Linked DNA regions of Notamacropus eugenii. The protein of the gene in region 2 binds, or shares a complex with, the protein of the main gene of each other region. Links are inferred from orthologs where the notes say so. Each region holds a gene or a part of one and is shown on either strand. Other genes may lie near its edges. The genes, in order: ACSS1 and SIRT3.

Region 1 (9,534 bases), on a different chromosome or scaffold from region 2:
CTTGAAGTCTGCTCTCATCAGAGCATTCATTTGAAGTGTCATTTTGAGTTCTAAAAGGCATAGATTGTTTAAGAGAATAAAGCAGGGAAGTTCAGTTACAGAAAAAATTGCAACAGTGTAAGTGGGTGAGGTAGTAATGAGACCTTGGACTAAGGTAGTAGAAATAGGAATATCACTGAAGTGATGGATGTGAGCGATATTGAGGCAAAATAGTCAGGACTTATCAATGATTTGATGCTGGAGGCAAAATAGATTTATTAAATTAAATTAAAGATTTATACTGGGTTAACAAAAGATTGGGCAAATATTCATGCCTCTCACTAACATATATTATGAAAGTAGAAGAAGGGGCAGATTTTGGGGGAGGGAAATAAAAAACCAGAGTTGTAGATGTGATGAGCTTATTCAATTTCACAAATAGTGAATGGGCAAGACACTATCCTAGAGGAAATAATGATAGATACATCCTAGACTCTGACATCAAGGAACTTATAGTCCAATGAGAAGGGGAGTCATGCATACAGGTCACTATGATACAAAGGATAAAGGAATAAAAATGAACCAAAGGTGTAGGCAAAGCATCATGAGAAATTTGAAAAGGAAAAGATCACTTTTTGCTTGAACTTCCTAAGCTGGACCTTAAAAGGAGAGCATTTGAATAAAAGCTCCAAAAATGTACGGGGGGAAGGTAGCATGGGGAGTCCAGTTCAGGTATAGGTGGGTGCTATGAGCAAAGACAGGAGGAAAGGAAAGACGAAGATGAGAAAGAGCTCAGATACAGTAATCCTGTGTGACTAAAACTATGTAACACAAAGCATGTGAACAGATAAGCCTGAACATTTAAGTTAAAAACTAAACTAAAATGTGGGCTACACTAAAATAGGACCAGGAATTTATGCTTATTAAGAGGCAAAAGGGAGCCACTGAAGTTTTTTGAGGAGGTGATTTACATGATCAGAACAGTACATTAGGCAACATTATGAAGGGCTGATCAGAAAGGGAATAAACCTGCAGCAGAAAGAGCAGTTAAAAGCCAAAGAATTGAGGCAATAAGAGATGAGTTAAGTCAGAAGCCCTACGGGTGAAGGAGAAGGAATCAATGAAGAGATTGATAATTGAGTCTACGGGACTAGTCAACTGATGAATGAGCGAAGAAAAAATATTTTTTTAATGGCTACAAGATAAGTCTGAGTGACTGGATGGACAGACTAGTCATATGAACATAAACAGACAAATTCGGGAGGTGGGGGAGCCAAATTTGGAAACAAGATCAGTTTAGTTGAGTTTGAGGTGCCAGATGATCATCCTGTTGGAGATGTCCTTTTAAGTTAGGTAATTGGTGATTCAAGTATGGAGCTGAGAAGACAGCTAATGTAGATTTAGACACAGATTTAGGAGTCATCTGTGTAGAAATGATGGTAAAAGCTGTAGGAACAATGATATTGATGAGAAGAACTGGTAAAGAGTAAAGGCAAGAGAAGCAAGGAGAGATCATTGGGGAACACCAGTATTAACGGGTGTAAAAGAGGAGCAAGGAAACAAAGAAGGGACCACAAGAAATGTAACAGGAGAAACAAGCAACTGATCTAGCTCAGCTTCCAGTCCCTATGCAAGAATATACCTGTAGATAAGAATCTGTCTTCTTTATGTTGTTAGAAAGCAAGAGAGCAAGAATATCCAGAAAGAAAGAACAGTCAAGGGCATTAAATGCTACAGAGAGGCTAAAGGTAAAGGATGGGGGGAAGGGAGCAGGGTGGCAAATTACTGAATTTGGCAATATCTTTCATTTGGTATTTCTGGGGGAATCATAGAATCTAGGCCTGGAATGGACCTTAGGGATCGTCTTGTCCAATCTTTCCTTTTTCAAAAAATGGAACAGGCTCAACGATGGGAAATGATTTGACTTGTTACTTAGTAAGTGACAGAGCCAGGACTCAAACTCAGATTCTCTTATTTTAGATTCAATGCTTTTTCTAGTATACCACACTTACTTTCCTGGATTTTGAGTTCTTTTTTCATGTGTATATCTTCTCTCCTGGCTGAATGATATGTTCCTTGATGGCTTGGAACTTGCCTATGACTTTCTATTCCCCTATAAAATGCCTAATCCTATACCTGATACATTCTAAAGGCTGAGACTATATTTGTGGATTGATTGATTCAGCTGATTTCAGTGTTTGAAACTTAGAAATAAAGGGTTTAAGACTCTGTTACTGAAGACTCATCACCAGTGTCAAATCTTAGATATTACTGGCCTTGAAAACGAAGTAGGCATACCTCTTAGGAGGTTGAAATGCACAGACGACCTTATCCTGAAGATAATTATCAGAGTTGCCTAGAAGGCTGAGGAACCTCGTCTCAGCCAGTAAAACATTGTCTGAGCAAGGATATATTTTTGTTTAAGTTTGCTCTGCTCATTGACCAAGGATTTTCCTCTCTTCTTCACCTCTTCTTTGCACTCTACAAGGAAGCATGTATTGTTTGTTTACGTGGGCAGAGTTAATACTTAGGCAACTCCTCCAGCCGCCAATGGCTCCCCGGGGCCTGAGTGATACGTCTGGGTGCTGTGGGACAGCCCGTAAGGCAGGCCAGCTACAAGACTACAGAAGTCGTTTCGTTTTCACTAAGGAGTTTTATTCGGAGTTTATTTACTAGCTTGCATCCCAGGGGCGAAATGAAAAAGAAAAGGAGGAGAGGGAACTGTCTAGATCCTAGGAGAACGGAGTCAAGGGCTCTTCCTAGCTCAAACTTATAACACGGACACAAAGGGAACAGAGAGTTGCGAGGAGTTGCTGGGTGAGGGGTAAGACAAAAGACGGAACCAGGGCGGGGATGTAACTCCCTGGGTTGTCCATTCGAGTCCGCAGGTCCCAGCTAGCTGCCCAGTGCAAACTGATCCCCCACCTAGCCAGCCCAGAACGTAAGGGTAAGTACAAGGTAACTCTAGGGAAGAAAAAAGCGTCCTCTAACAGTCTCCCAAACCTGTCATCCTGGACAGCAGCTGGAAGGACTCGCGCTCTCAACCCGCCCCACATAGCTGGCAGGAAAGCAGCATTCTGGGGTGGAGTGGGGGTGGGGAGAGGGCGCGTGAGTGCACAGAGGAGGTGACAATGGTCAGGAGCTGTCAGAGCTCCCTCGTGCCCTAGAGGTTCTTAGGGGCTTTGTGGGAGGATCTATAGTTTGCAGTGATAAGGTGACGTGGCTCCTGACTTTGCTAGAGACTGTTAAGGATAAATGAGGTAAAAGTGGAGAGAAAGTCGAAGGAAATAGGGACCCCCCGAAGGGTTTCATGGAGAGGATGCGGATGTTGCCGGGGGGGGGGGGAGGGGGGCTATGAATTTGTTGGCCAAATTGCTAGAAGTGTCCAGATTACCGAGGAAATTGTGGCCAGGTTGTAAGGGTTGCTAGGGAGCAGGTGACCAAGGTTGCTAGGGCAAAATGTAGGAATGGACTGGTTGTGGGTTCAAGTAAAAACTAAAATGATGGGAGAAATGGGGAGAAGGAATAGTTCCTGTTACCTCACCCCTTCCCCCAAATGCCAACCCCCATCCTTAGCCTTACCCGACACGTTTAACTGGCCGCCCAGGAACCAGCTAATCTTGCCCTGGTTGAAATCACAGTCCTCGACGGTATGGTAAGGGGTGTCCCACACCAGCGTGTGCTGGGCAAGGCGCCCCCAAAACACTTGGGGCTCTTTGACAGCTTGTTCCCACAGCTTCGCGTAGGTGCTGAGTTTCCTTGACACCGCTGGGGCGGCGCTGCCGGCCCCTTTTCCGGCAGCCCAGAGGCCCGGACCGTGGCCGCCCAGGAACCGGCGATGTAGCTGCAGGGGCAGCCCCGGCCCCCAGCTTCTCGACCCCCCGCATCCTGGCAGCACCCAGAAGCTCCCGCACAGTTTGCGGAGCAGTCCACGGCCCCCACCGCTGCCGGAGGTGCACAGGCTCAGAGCAGTCATAGCGTTTAGCCACCCCCAGACCCGGCTTTCCTGGGGCCCCTCGGATCCTGGCACAGCACCCTAAGACGGCTGCACTTCCAACGCAAAAACTAGAGGAACTCAGCGAGGCGGGGACCGGAGCCAATAACGGGCTCCTCCCACTCTTCTTAGTCCCTCCCAACTGCCAGTTCTTCGGGGAAGGGCGGGGTGGGGGGTGGGGGGGAAGGAGGAGAGAGAGAGATAGTGTGAGAAAGAGAAAGAAGACGTTTAGCTCCCCATTTCCTCTGTAGTGGTAAACTGGAGGGGGCCTGGTAGTGGCTCTCTCCTTCCCTCCTCCTGACTCCCACCTCCTCGTCAGGTCCCTTATTCTTCTGGAGCCCACCTCCCCAAGTTCAGTTATCTTTCCCCCTCCCCACCACCTTTCCTTCTGTCATCTTGGGGGGAGGAGGGAATTAGGGGAGGATATGATCGCAGGAGGAGGAGAATTTAGGGCTTCGAGATCATCGAGGTTCTGAGAGGCAGTCCTCAGTACCTGCTGCTTGGAGGTGATGAAGGCAGTCTTGTGGAATGTCAAGTTGAAGTTTTGCTTTGATTTCATTTTATAGGTTGTTCTTGAGCCTACCAAAATAAGGCTATTATCTGGATCTCATACAATCTTAGATGTAGGAGACACCTTAGGAATCCTTTAGTCCAAAATGGAAGTCCAGAAAGATGATGATTTGTTCAAAGTCACAAAGCTATGGAAGTCCAAAGAATTGGTGAGTGTCTTCTTTCAAGGTCACAAAATTGATAAAGTAAATGAATTGGACTTTGAGCCCATAACTACATGAATCCAGTGCTCTTTCCACTATATCTGTCTTTAAGGGGACGATTGTAGGGATGGAGAGAAAAAGACAGAGACAGAGAGAGATAAACAGATAGACAGAGAAAGAGACAGAAAGAGAATGCTTATTGCCCTTGCTCCCCTGGGGGTGGGTGGTTCCTGCTTCCAGTGTTTCCCCTCTCTAATCCATTCTCCACTCAGCTGCCATCTTAATCATCCAAATGCACAGGCATCACTTTTCTGTCCCAAAACTTTCAAAAGCTCTCTAGCCCTCAAGCTAAGACCATCCACAACTCACTGACCTACTCTTTCAGCCTTAGTTAATAATATTCCTCTTGACATACTCAGTATCCCATCTCCTGTTTCTTTGTCTCTTCCAGCTATCCCTCCTACTTGAAATGCAGTCCTTTCCTCCCTAAAAGATTCCTTCTGTTACTTCAAGGCTCAATTCAGGTGCCATCTTCTCTTGGAAGCGTTCTCTGATGCCTCCCCATTTGTTAATGCTCTTTCCCTTTCTGAAATTCCCTTGAATTTACTTATCTGTATATGTTAAATCTCTCCAGTAGAATGGTAAACTCCTCCAGGACTTTGGCTTTTGTCTTTAAATCCCAGGGCCAAGTACCTCACCTTGCATAATTAGGATATGAAATAAATGTTTATGGAAATGTTGAACCTTGGTGATGTGGAGAAATATATGTCATCAAGTAAACAACTAAATATAAACTCTTTACATATAGTTTTTTTCAGATTGAAAATTCTCTGAATATTTCCCCTACTGCTCTATTTTGCCAACAAAGTACTACAAGCTAAATGTAGTCACAAACAGAGATGCCAGCATAAAGTGGTAGAGATTGAATCATCTAACTACTCACCAGGTAGTCAAACGTTCTTGGAAGTAATCTTTCTAACAAAAAGAGCTGTCCAGCCATGGACATTTAGAAGGTGATGAGTTCCATGAAATGTCCAACTAAGCGAAGACTGAGTGATCACCTATCAGTGATATTGTAAAGGAGATTTTGGTATGGGTTGGAAGACTGAACAAGATGCCCTTTCAAGTCCCTTGCAACTCTAAGATTCTCTCATTCAAAGAAATTATTCCTGGCCTTCAGTTCAAGAGACAACATTGGCAAATGAATCAATATAGAGGACGCTGGAATTCTAACCCAGTTCCTGACAATGACTTGTCAGTCTTAGTTAACTCACTTCACTTTTCCTGGCTTCAGTTTTCCCATAAATTCTTTAAAAAGGAGAAAAGATAAGAGCAGAAAACCAATTTGCCATTACTTTATGACATTTTGGGGAGGCTGCCCTTAATTCAGTGGTTGTTGGTGCAGGACCCAGAAATGAGAAATAGGAATTTGGCTGAGGACGCATTACATAGTTCCTAATCCCCTCTATCATGATCTCCTCTATAGACCTTACTCCCTTACTACAACCTAAGAGGGCAATTTCGAGGAAGGATATAAGAAAGGAACACTCACTACAAATGCCTCTATTCATGTTTTTAAGGATTCCAGATTTCTTAAATTATCCCAGTTTCATAATGATCTCTACTCTACTGGATTCACCTATAAAATTATAAGATCTGAGAACTATAAGGAATCATGAATTCTTCTAGTCAAGGGCTCTCAACCTCTGCCATGGATGGAACCCGCTGGTGGTCTGGTGAAGCCTATGGACCCTTTCTCAGAATAATGTTTTTAATTGCATAAAATAAAGTATATAAGATTAATAAAGGAAAACAATTATATTGAAATGCAGTTATCAAAAAAAAAATTTAAGTTCAAGGACCCCAGATTAAGAACCTCAGATGTTTTTCACCCTCCTGCCTCCAGGCAGGAATATACCATTAGATAAAATCTGTTCCCATACCAGGTCAAGAAGGGATTAAAAGGAAAAGCAGAAAAAATAAAAACCTGTGGGAACAGGTGTCAACTGAGGGGAGTGTGCAGGGGGTACAATGCCATGTTTGGAAAGATTAGGCAGAAATCAAATTATAGACACAAAGCTGAGCAGTATTATTTTATCCTAGGGTCTTCTGAAAGTTTTTAAACAAAGGAGTGATATAGTCACACCTGTGCAGCAAGGAAACGAATTTGGCAGCTGTGGAGAGGGTAAAGAGGAGAAGGGAGAAACTAGGAGCATGGACCTTGTTCTAATACCACCTAGGCCTCAATTTCCTCATTTGTAAAATAAAGGATTCAGACTAGAAAACCTTTGAGGTCTCCGTCAGCTTTGGATCTATGACCCTATGAACCATTGAGTTAGGGCTTAAGTTATTACAGACAAATCTATTAAGAAGCTATTGCAATTGTTCCAGGTGGAAGGAATGAGGGCCTGAATTAAGATAGTGGCTGCATGAGACAGAGAAGTGGACAAATGGAAGAGAAGACTTACAGCTGATTAGATGAGTGTGCTGGAGAGAAAAGAAAAAAAGATGGCTTTACTCTTTGCAAACCTGAGCTAGAAAGATGGGGATACTTTTAAGAGAAATAAATGAGCGGAGCCTAAATGTCAGAGTAGAAGAAAAAAGAAGAGCTGAGCGTTTCCCCACTCCTCCACAAAGATGCAATAAATGCATCAAACTGAGTCCTGACTGGAAAATTCAAGACAAAAAAATTCATAATGAGTCATTTTTTCCAGCTTGAATAGCATAGGGAGACAGATAAAGTTGTCTGTGGACACTAGGGACAAGCCATAAGGACTGTGCCAAAGAGCAAGGAGAGGTCCTAGAGTCATGATGGGGCATTGTGCTCTTGTATAAGATATGGGAAGAGGTGGCAACTAGCAGCTCTGTCACTCACTCCCCAGTTCCTGATCACAAATCCAGGATGGACTGAGAAAATGACTTGCACATAGTGGTGGGATTCCAGGGTAAAGAGACATCTCATGACCTAGTTTGTGTACTGAGCAAGGAAAAAGATCAGTAGCAATTAGTAGCTGTGTGGCTAATGACCCCAAGAGAAGAGCACAGTCTCAATGCCAAATTCAAGGTCAGTCTTAAGCCTACAGAGGCATGATCAGGATCAGAATCTCAGAACTTTCCAGCTAGTCACTTAGATAGTGACTAAGTCCAGAAGCAATCTGCTGAATGTACCAACCAGGGGCAAAACAAAAGGAATATTATATAGATCCAAACCCAGGGCAAGAGTTTGCAGAGCTCAAACTAGAAAACAGTGATCAGACTTTACTCTGAAGTACAGAACTTTCGAAGCACTTAAAACCTGCAGGTACTCAACCAGAACTATTCCTGAGATCCTGGATACATACAACACTCAATATCATAAAAAAATAGAAGTAGACCCCAAGAAGACAAAAGCTTAACCAAGACATTCCCCTCAGAAGTGTATAGAACCTGGCCCTAACAGGAAGTAGACTAGAAGAATGAATAAACATGAAAAGAATGTCACCCAAAAAAAATCTGTTATGTTGACAGGGATGCTCAAGATACAAACCCAGTAGAAGATAATGACTCCCGAACATCTACAAGCAAAGCCTAAACAAAATAAAGCTTGGGCACAAATCTGGCCTGAATTGCTAGAAGAGACAAAGCAAGAGTTTTTGGTAAATTAACTTAAAAACCACACAGGAATCATATGAATACAACTATAAAATATTCTTTATATAAATAAAAACAGATCTAAATAATTGTAGAAACATTAATTGCTCATTGGTAGGCCACGCTGATATAATAAAAATTATACTAATACCTAAATCAATTTCCTTATTTGGTACCAGACCAATCATATTACTAAAGGATTTATATGCTTTATAAAACTAGAAAAAAATAATAAAATCCATCAGGAGGATAAAGCATCAAGAATCACAAGGGAATCAATGAAAAGGAGAAGGATGAAAGGGGTCTAGCAGTCCCAGGTCTCTAATTACTCTACAAAGCATTAATCATCAAAAGAATTAGGGACTGGTTAGGAAATAGAGAGGTTGATCAGTAAGACAGATTAGCTACATAGTATTAAAAACCAATTAGCACAATAGCCTAGTGTTTGATAAATCCAAAGATCCCAGCTACTAGGGCAAGAACTCACTATTCAACAAAAACTATTGGAAAAACTGGAAAGCAGTTTGGCAGTACCTAGATTTAGACCAACATCTCACACCATATGCCAAGATAAGCTCCAACTAGGTTTATGACTTAAAGGACATTATAAGTAAATTAGAGGAAAAAAAGATAAAATTATAGGTCACATGTACAAAGGAAGGTTTCACAGCCAAATGAGATAGAGGATCGCAGAAGGGAAAATATACGATTCTGATTACATAACATTAAAAAAGGCTTTGTACAAACAAAATCAATGCAGCTATAATTAGAAGAGAACAGGTATGAGGGAGGGGAATCTTTGCAGCAAATTTCTCTGATAAACATCTCATTTCTAAGATTTGTAGAAAACTGGTGGAAATTGATAAGAATGAGAACTACTTCCCAATTGATAAATGTTCAAAAGATATAAGCAGGCAGTTTTCAGAGGGAGAAATTCAAGTTATTAATAGCCACATAAAAAGTACTCTGTCTCACCAATAATTAGAAAAATTTAAATCGAAAGAATGCTATAGTTTTATTGCATACTCATCAGATTGGCATGGTTGGGCAAAAAAAAGGAAACTGACAAATGCTAAAACAAAAACAGGTACATTCTTAGTGGAGCTATGAAATGGTCTAGCCATTCTGGAAAGCAATTTGGAACTATGCCCAAAAATCTATCAAAATGTTCAGGTCTTTTGATCCAGCAATACAACTTCTATTACTTGAAAGAAATTA
Region 2 (9,635 bases):
AAAGACCAAACTACAGAGGACAACTGAAAGAAGACAAGATTGCTCCTGGGAAACATGGCAGAACTTTTTGTTTCATCCCTAGCCCCTGCTGGGGATACACTATGGCTGTGAATTTGACCTCTGGAGAATCAAATCTACATGCTGGGGGCAGATGACCCAAAGTGCCACAGGAAGCCTTCAGGTCTTAACTTCCTGTGGCTGTTCATTATCTCCCCATTAGACTGTGGGCCCCTTGAAGTCAGGGGTATCCCCAGGGTTTGGCCCAGTGCTTGGCACTTAGTAGGCACTTAATCTAATGCTTTTCGACTGGACTTGATGCAGGGCAAGAACACAAGTCATCACTGGGGAGACTGCCCAGAACACAGAGTGACCCACAGACAACAGGCTGTGACCTGACAGCCAAAGGGAGGCTGAAGAGCTAGGAGGTCACAGAGATCCTTTGAGAGTCTCTGCAGATGTGGACCACATTCCTATCTAACCTGACGCCTCAAGGGATAATATCTTTTCTAAATGTTCTCTTGCCCTCAGCACCCAGCACAAATAAAAAGCCATTTTAGGGTTAGGGAATGAAGGACTGTTGAATTGCACTTGCCCCAAATTCTCTCCAGGTTTCATGGTTTCTCTCCTACTTTTCTTCTCCTGGTTCTCGATCCAGCTCCCTTCCTGCCCTCGCCCTACCCAATGAAGGGCACCTTTTTGATTCCAACCCCCCCAACAGCAGCCTCCTTATCTCCTTAGCTGTGTGAGCAGCCCTTCTCTCTCTGGAGAAGAAACAAGGGCATCCCTACTGTGGTCTTGGGTGTTCTCAGATCTAGATCACAGGTCCAGAAGGATCCTTAGAGGCTGAGAAGCAGGAAGCAGCAGAGTTGGGGCCCAAGCCTTTAGCCTGTAGAGGGTGAACAGCCAGGCTTCTTATCCCTCTCCTGCCATTCCTGAAGCTGTGGAGGTGCCTCGAGCAGCCTTCTTCCTCACTGGCTCAGTTTCTGACCACCTGACCGCCCTCCATTTTCAGATGAATTCACTGCCCCAGACACTTGAGTAGGAGACACAGTGAGTGTGCCCGCCACCACCCAGCAACCTCACGTTGGGTTACCTGGCAGGTCCTTTACATCAATACAGCCCAGAAAGCGCAGGGCATCCTTGTAGTAGGATGCATGGTTTCCAATGGTCTGATAGTACTTGCTGGAAAGGTCATAGAAACGACTGTGTACAGATGTCACACCCGGAAGGTTATTAAGTAGCTCTTCCACGTCTTCAATTGTCTCCTGCACATGGATAGGAAGCCACCTTAGAGTGTCCTGGGTACATGGCTGTCGGACATTCCTTCCCCCAATCCCAGGAACGAAAGAAAAGAGCCCCAGGACCATGGGGGCAGAGGATACCAGACAGGCCAGCAAATGCCTCCTCTGCTTGCTGGACATGGCTGAGTCTTCTGTTTCCTTTGGGGCTAAAGCTCTGCCTTCCCCTAAGAAGGGGTAGCCCTGTCTATCTTATCTAAGGTCTGGAGATAATGAGGTCGTGTGGCCTGGAATGGACACACACGCTCCACCTCTTCACTGACTTACGTGTCATTACTCTAAAGGGAGCAAACAGATTGTTCAATCCCACCCCAAATGTGACCTAAGGCTCTTGTGCCAAGTCCTGATCAATCTGGGAGTCTCTGGGTGTTAGCTCCCAATCCTCTGCTCTCCTAACACAACAAGAATGGTTAAGCATCTGGTTTCCTTTGCCAGTCAGCTGGCTGTTAGACGCTGACTGTGCTCCAGATCAACTGGGGAAGGGGATGGGGCAGATGGATGAGCTTCTTAAGTCTCCAGGTCAAACAACCTCTCCAAGCTAGGACCCCTCAGGCACCAACAACTGGTCCCCTGCCCTCACCTTGGTCACCTGGAGGTCTCCAATGTTCAGTTTGAGAGCACCTATGGCAGTTTTACACAGGATTACTGCCTCATCACTGCTTTTTACCTGAAGTTGCCAAAAGGAGAAAGAGAAAGATCAGAAACCAGAGAAGCGGGTGACAAAAACTGAGAAACTACCAGGAAAAAGCTCCTGCCTTCCTACAGTCTCCATGTGCACAAGGCAACACAATTAGGAGTGAACCAGGGAGCCGTGGGCAGCCCAAGTGGGGGGCTGCTCTAGCAAGGAAAGGTGCAGCTAAAATGGCAAACCTACCTTTTCCCTAGTCTTTTCCAGAAACGTAAGAGCAACATTAGGATCTGGAGTAAATAAAAAGGTATGAAGTCAGAAGAGGCACCAATGGGCACATCAGGCCGGCATGAGGCTCTTTAAATTGGTAACGTAGTAAGGCCCATGAACTTGGCCTACAGTATCTTTACCCTTTGGGGTTCCTTCTTTGTGAAATTAATGCTCACCTGTCATCTGTCTAACTACATGGAGAATGATTTCCACCAAGGACAGAGGATTCACCCTGAAATGGAAAGATCACCTGGATTTAAAATTTCAACAATGTGCAAATGCAGAAGGTAAGTGATAAACAAGAGTATGTACCTGTGCTCAAACTCACTGATGAAGTTTTCATAGAGCTGCAGGAATAAAGAAATGGAATCCATTAAATCAGGCCAATTCCACCCTGAATTATCCTGCAGACCCCTCCTGAGCCAAATCTAGTTCTTATTCTCAAGTTCGGGGTGGGAAAGACACTAGAGACATGGCCCAGGAGATGCACAATGCCACACAACCAGACAGTTCCTAAACAAAAATTTGAGCTAGCAGTGCCATCCTGAATGGCCTCAATATGAGACTCCCCCCTCCCCCCCACCGAGGAACAGTGGCGTCCTTACGTTTCAGGGGGTGGTGTGTGGCCAGGGCTGATCCCAGGCATGCTTGGGAACTATGGCCGACCTTTGGGACTCTCTCCATTTGTTGACTGTACAAGCATTTTATGCAAGGACACAGTAGGAAGAATCTTGGGAGCAGCAAACGTGAGGCGACAGGCAGATGTGTTCCCTCAAAAGCCACCATAGTACCAAGTCAGAGGCAACCATGACAACAGAAATGTCCAAATTGTAAGGAGGGAGAGGAAACATGCTAGACTATTCTGAAAGGCTGAGGAGGAGCCAGGAGGAAGTGTGCATTCTGTGATGTCTGTGTACGGGGGACATGGGATTCTGTGGGTAAAAAAGCACCCAGTTGGGATATCAGTTATCCTTCTGCTGGAACCCCACTGTGATCGGCAGGGGCTTCATACCCAACACTCACACCACGCACATGGCAAGAATTAGATCAGCGAACACGTCAAGGGCAACATTTTCTCAGTGTCTAGGGAGACTGAAGGAGCTCAGCCCTACAAAGGGGCTGAGTAAAGCCGAGTGGTGAGAGAAGGAGGCTGGAGTCAAGGGAAAGGAGCCATGGTCACCTCCAGGCCTGGATGAGACCCAGATGGGATTGTTAGCTTGGGGGAGCATATTCCCCACTACATACGCACTGCATGAGTGGTATCCTTGCCAGGTTCTTATACAGACACCTCTGGTGTTACTTTCTGCGTCAGAAACCTAAATGACTGCTAGCAAACGAAAGAACGCTTCTGTGTTATCCCTAACCCTGCAAAGACAGGACAGAGGGAGGGCTAGGAGCAGCATATGTTAGCCCAACCAACCCCTTGCTTTTACATCGGTCTCCTGCAAGGATCAATTCCAAATCTTCGGATGCATTCCTGCTTTAACATGTGAAATTACATTACGAAACACGCACCAAATCCAGAAACTTAAGACTTTCTGTTCCTCCTAACGATTTTTTAGTGAATTTCAGATTTATTAACGCCTCTTAAGGAGCTGCTGCTTAAAATAAGCAATACAGCTTGTGAGCCCTGAATTAAAACAAAGCAAAGCAAAAGCCAACATTCAGAGAAACTGGAGCTAGTAAAGGAACCCAGAAAGCCAAAGCTTCTCCAGAGAGAGTTTGAAGGGACAGAGACGAGAAATAAAAGCAAGAGGATGTTTCACAGAAAGAAACCTTAATACTTGAGGCCCTACGGAGTCCAGAACTGGCTACCTGTTTGGAAGAGGTAGATCGCCAAGTGCCCAAGAAGCTCAGCACAGTGCCCAACAGATGGGCACAAAAGGGCAGGAAGCTCCCACGAGACCGAGGGAGATCAGCTGAACTACGGGCAAATACGATATCAGGCGTCTGAGCTAAAACCACCCAAGCTGTAATTATCCGATGATGTCATCGGTGCCCAGGAAAGGAGTTCTGGCTCGGCTGGCCGCATCTGAAAAAGCCTTCGTACACACCAGGAAAAGCTCTCAAAGGCTGACCAACGGACCGGACAACCAAGTGCGCCTCGCTGCGGACGGGCAGGACGCGGTCCGGACAAAAAAGCCGTCCCAAGGGCTAGCGGACCTGCAGGGCAGCCAGCAGCGCCCGCCGGCCAAGGCCACCCGCGCCCCTCGGGGGGCACCGCCAGAGTCGGGGCGCACCGGCCAAGGCCACCCGCGCCCCTCGGGGGGCACTGCCCACCGGCCAAGGCCACCCGCGCCCCTCGGGGGGCACTGCCCACCGGCCAAGGCCACCCGCGCCCCTCGGGGGGCACTGCCCACCGGCCAAGGCCACCCGCGCCCCTCGGGGGGCACCGCCAGAGTCGGGGCCCGCCGGCCAAGGCCACCCGCGCCCCTCGGGGGGCCCTGCCAGAGTCGGGGCCCGTGGGGGGAAGGAGAGCGACGCACCCGGGAACGGGAGCAGGAGACGGCCACCAGCCCAGCGGGAGACGGGCCGGAAAGACCCTCGGGTCCGCCAGAGAACAGGGATGGGTGCGCGCCCAGAGGGGCCGCGTGTCTGAAGCCGGGAGCAGCCTGGCACGTCCCTGGCACATCCCTTACACCGCGTGCCACGGAGGGACGTCAGAGGTCAGAGGGCACGGAGGATAAAGGGGCCAAAAGGCTGGAGAGCTCTCACACGCACCAAAGAAACGCAATCAGAACTAAAGGGACCCAAGTGGGGAAGGAGCCTCTGATAAGGGCTACTGCCCGAGAGAGACGAGCGACGGAGGCAGCGCGGAGCTGCCAACACGCAGGGGAAGGAACTGTTCCCGAAGCCGTCCGAGCTCAAGGACAGAGGGCAGGGATGACCCCGCGCTGCCAAGGACGGAGAGGCTGCCAGGCCCCGGCCCCGCAGGGACCCCCAGGACTTGGGGAGCCGGCCCCCCGCTCACCTTGATGAGCCCGTCGCCCTGGGCGAAGCAGGGATCCTGCACGAAGTCCAGGATCTGGAGCGTGAGCTGGTGCCATAACCTGGGAGACAAGAGGACCCTCAGCGCCCCCCGGGGGGGAGGGGAGCGGGCAGGATCCCGGGCCGGCCCCTCCCCCTCCCCCGCGCCCCTCACTTCTTGGTGTAGAGCTCCTCCAGGCGGTGCCACACGGCGGCCTGGCCGGGCCCGGCGCTCTGGCTCTGCTGCAGGAAGCCCGGCACGTCCTTCATAGCGACGGCGGATCCGGGACGGACGCGGAGAACGCGCGCGGGACTCCGGAGCAGCGACCGGCGCCGACGGAGGGGCCGACGGAAACGCACACTCACTTCCGGTGTCCGCACACTCACTTCCGGCGCACACCCGCACACGTCCGGCGTCTGCACGCTCACTTCCGGCAGGGCGCACGCGCCCTCACCCACTTCCGGCCCCGGTGCAGGTCGGGAGCGGCGCTCGCTTCCTCCGTCCTCCCCGAGGGAGTCGGGGCGATGGGGCCGGGCTGCGCCGCCGCCTGGACCGCCCTGGGTGCGGCGCTGGGGCCCGCGCGAGGAAGGGCCGCGGCAGCGCGCGGTGAGCGTCCCGACGTGCGTGCGCGTGCCCGAGGCCGGACCCCGGCGGGGGCGGAGGAGGGGCTCCAGTGACCTCTGCGGGCTGGGCGCGCGCCTGGGGTGGGGGCTGGGCGGGTGAGCTGCCGGGCCCGGCCCCCAGGGGTGCGGGACGTCCCGGGCCGAGGAAATGGGCGAAGGGGGCGCTGAGGCGGGCTTGGGTGCGTGTGTTCGGACCCCGATTCCGAAGTCGCGTTTCTGTCTAGCCCCCAATCTCTTATCTCGGGCAGTGTCCCTCCCGCCCCGGCAGGAACCATGCCTGCCCCCTGCTGTGCGCTGGGTCGTGGGACGTTCCTGCGTGCCTGAGCCCCCTTTCCATCACTCCTTCCTGCCAGGACATCGATGAGAGAAGCCTGATTGACCCTGGTCAGCCCTGACCTCGGTTGGCGGCCTGAAGCCGCACCTGCACGTGGCCCCTCTTTGCTCATTCCCCGCTGCCTGCCCGGCGGATACCCAGAGGGCGTTTTCTCCGAAGAACTGACCACTTCTTAAGCGCTCCCTGGCCCGGCCAGACCTAGCGGACATGCTGGGCACCCGTCTGACTACGCAGTGACCCGTGCAAACTTCGTGCCTCCTCTAAGTGGCAGGTTCCCTAGGGACCTTGCCCGCCGAGAGGCGCGCTAACGAGCGTCTGTGCCTCCCGCCCTAAGATCGCCGGAGTCCGGGGAATCCTCCCCAGACCGGGCTGCCGGGGCTCCGCGCCTCCGGTCCCTTCGCCGGGGAGATGGTTAGAAGGGAACTGTGTCCAAGATCTTTTGTTCCTTCGGAGCCCAGATATCCCCAGGACGCCGCCTGCTCTCCCACCCGGAGAACCATTCCCTATGACAAAGTGTTTTTAAAGGAGGAGAAGGAAGAGTCAGTGAAGCAAAAACGCTGAAAACGTGGGGAAATGCATGCCGGGTTCCCCGCCTCTGCGCCAGTGGGCGTGGGTGTGGGGAGAGGGGTCTTCTCTTCCTCAGGGTCGTGGGGCGGTCCTGGCTCCGCCTCCCTTCGTGCCAGGCTTTCCGTCTGCGTTCATTCGGGCATGTGCCACGATTTGTTCAGCCAGTCCCTAGTTGATGGGTGTCTATTACCCAAAGGGCTGCCGCCAACGTCTGGGTTCATGTGGGACTTTCTTCTTATCAACAGCCTCCTGAGATATAGACCGGCTCCTGAAATCCCTGGATCAAAGGGATAATGGACATTTCCAAACTGCATTCCAAAATGGTTGTAACAATTCAAAGCCTCACCGAGGGCGCTAATGTGCCAGTCTTCTCACAACCCTGTCACCACTGAGTAGTCTGTTGAATGCTGTCAACAGCTGGACTTTTCCTATCCTTGTTTCCTTAGGGTGGAGGTATCTCTGCCTGTGTGGACAGCCCTCTGTCTTCAGAGTTTGGGGGAGTCTCCGAGCTCTCCACAGATCCAGCTGCATCTCTCTGTGGGAGCAGGTGTTACCAGAGAAGATCCTGAGAGGGGAAGCTGTGAATGTGTCCAGCTCTTGGCAACAAAAGTTAGGTGGTCATTTCTGCAGGTACCCTGGGTGCCAGGGGGTGAGGGAACATAAGAGCTTTGAGTTTGGGAAATAGTGTCAGAGAGCAGGTTTTAAGGAGGGATGCAAATCCTTGTGCATAATAACTTAATAAGGGCTTATTAATTAAAGTTAGAAGGACGAGAAGAAGGAATTGTGGGAGACATCCGGGTCTTGGGAGATACATGGAATCATGATATCACAGAGTTGAAGGAGACTTTTAATATGGGGCTGATTTCCTAAACTGGGGAGAGCCAAAACAGAAAGGAAATCATAGACTAATTTCCCTAATGAATATAGATGCAAAAATTTTAAATAAAATATTAGCAAAGAGATTATAGCAACTTATCTCAAGGATAACACACCTGGTCGTAACCAGGTAGACTTTCTACCAGGAATGCAGGGCTGGTTCAACATTGGGAAAACTATCAGCATAATTGACCATATCAACCACAAAACTAACAGAAATCATATGATTAGCGCAATAGATGCAGAAAAAGCTTTCGACAAAATACAGCACCCATTCCTATTAAAAACTAGAGAACATAGGAGTAAATGGAGTCTTCCTTAAAATGGTAGGTAGCATCTACCTAAAACCACCAGCAAGTATTGCATGTAATGGGGATAAGCTAGAAGCATTTCCCAAAAGATCAGGGGTGAAAAAAGGATGTCCATTATCGCGGTTTTTCAATATTGTACTAGAAATGTTGGTTTTAGCAATAAGAGAAGAACAAGAAATTGAAGGAATTAGAACAGGCGAAGAAGAAACAAAGCTATCACTCTTTGCAGATGATATGATGGTATACTTAGAGAATCCTAGAGAAACAAGTAAAAAATTACTTGAAGAATGGACAATTTTAGCAAAGTTGCACAATGTAAAATAAACCCACATAGAATCATATATGTAACTAACAGAAACCAGTAGCAAGAGATAGAGAAGTTCCATTTAAAGTTATTGTAGACGTTACAAAATATTTGAGAATCTACCTGCCAAAACAATCCCAGGAACTGTATGAGCAGAATTATAAAAGACTTTTCACACAAATAAAGTCAGATCTAAATAATTGGAAAAATATCAGTTGCTCATAGGGAGGCTGAGCTAATATAATTTAAACGATAATTCTACCAAAATTAAATTACTTATTCAGTGCCATGCCAGTCAAACTACCAAAAATTATTTTATGGTGCTAGAAATAACAATCATAAAATTCATCTGAAAGAAGAAAAGATCCAGAATATCAAGGAAATTAATGAAAAGAAATGCAAGGGAAGATGGCCTAGCTTTACCAGATCTTAAATTGTATTATAAAGAAGCAGTCATCCAAACTACTTGGTACTAGGTAAGAAATAGAGTGGTGGATCAGTGGAATAGGTTAAGTATGCAAGACACAACAGTCAATGACTATAGTAATCTATTTGATAAATCCAAAGACTTCAGCTTCTGGAATAAGAACTCGCTAACAAAAACTACTGGAAAATAGTATGGCAAAAACTAGGCATAGACCAACATCTTACACCCTATATCAAGATGAAATCAAAATGGGCACTTGATTTAGTTATAAAAACTGATTCCATAAACAAACTCGGAAAGCAAGGAATAGTTTCCCTGTCAGATCTACAGAGAAGGGAGGAATTTACTACCAAACGAGATAGAGAAGATTATGAAATGTAAATTGGGTGATCTTGATTACATTAAATTGAAAAATTTTTGCACAAACAAAGCCAGTGCAACCAAGATTAGAAGGGAAGCAGAAAGCTGGGAAAGAATTTTTACAACCAGTGTCTGTGATAAAGGTCTCATTTCTAAAATATGTAGAGAACTGAATCAAATTTATAAGAACACAAGTCATTCCCCACTTGATAAATGATCAAAGGATAAAAACAGGAAGTTTTCAAAGGAAGAAATTAAAGCCATCTAGTTATATGAAAAATGACTATTCTAAATCATTGATTAGAGAAATGTAAATCAAAACAACTCTGAGGTACCACACCACACCTATCAGATAGGCTAACATGACAAAACAGAAAAATGATAAATGTTGGAGAAGATGTGGGATAATTGGAACACTAATGCATTGCTGGTGGAGTTGTGAACTATGCCTAAAGGGCTATCAAACTGTGCATAGTCTTTGATTCAGCAATCCCACTACTAGGTCTGTATCACAAAGAGATCAAAGGAAAAGGAAAAGGTCCTATTTGTATAACAGCTTTTATAGCAGCTCTTTTTGTTGTGGTGAAGAATTGAAAATTCAGGATATGCCCATCAACTGTGGAATGGCTGAAGAAGTTGTGGCATGTGAATGTAATGGAATACTATTGT

What was found.
Region 1: the proteins of SIRT3 (region 2) and ACSS1 are in contact, whole or in part, in a crystal structure (PDB 3GLT), measured with the Homo sapiens proteins. The link is inferred for Notamacropus eugenii from reciprocal best matches to the Homo sapiens genes SIRT3 and ACSS1. Residues at the interface, in NP_036371.1 of Homo sapiens: Gly145, Ala146, Gly147, Thr150, Pro151, Asp156, Phe157, Arg158, Ser159, Glu177, Phe180, Gln228, Asn229, Ile230, His248, Ile291, Val292, Phe293, Phe294, Gly295, Glu296, Pro297, Leu298, Gly319, Thr320, Ser321, Leu322, Glu323, Val324, Glu325; in NP_115890.2 of Homo sapiens: Ser640, Gly641, Lys642, Val643, Met644, Arg645.

Annotation. Positions count from the first base shown.
Region 1 is NC_092872.1:602,004,793-602,014,326, forward strand, and holds the start of ACSS1 (acetyl-coenzyme A synthetase 2-like, mitochondrial), read right to left. Parts: upstream 4,057-9,534; 5' UTR 3,956-4,056; coding exon 3,562-3,955; intron 2,927-3,561; exon of another isoform or gene 2,777-2,926; intron 1-2,776. UniProt on the Homo sapiens protein: Catalyzes the synthesis of acetyl-CoA from short-chain fatty acids. Acetate is the preferred substrate. Can also utilize propionate with a much lower affinity. Provides acetyl-CoA that is utilized mainly for oxidation under ketogenic conditions.
Region 2 is NC_092873.1:28,143,859-28,153,493, forward strand, and holds the start of SIRT3 (NAD-dependent protein deacetylase sirtuin-3, mitochondrial), read left to right. Parts: upstream 1-5,655; 5' UTR 5,656-5,688; coding exon 5,689-5,770; intron 5,771-6,140; exon of another isoform or gene 6,141-7,134; coding exon 7,135-7,318; intron 7,319-9,635. Other genes in the region: PSMD13 (26S proteasome non-ATPase regulatory subunit 13), read right to left, coding at 1,094-1,265, 1,879-1,965, 2,173-2,216, 2,373-2,428, 2,509-2,543, 5,168-5,246, 5,339-5,433.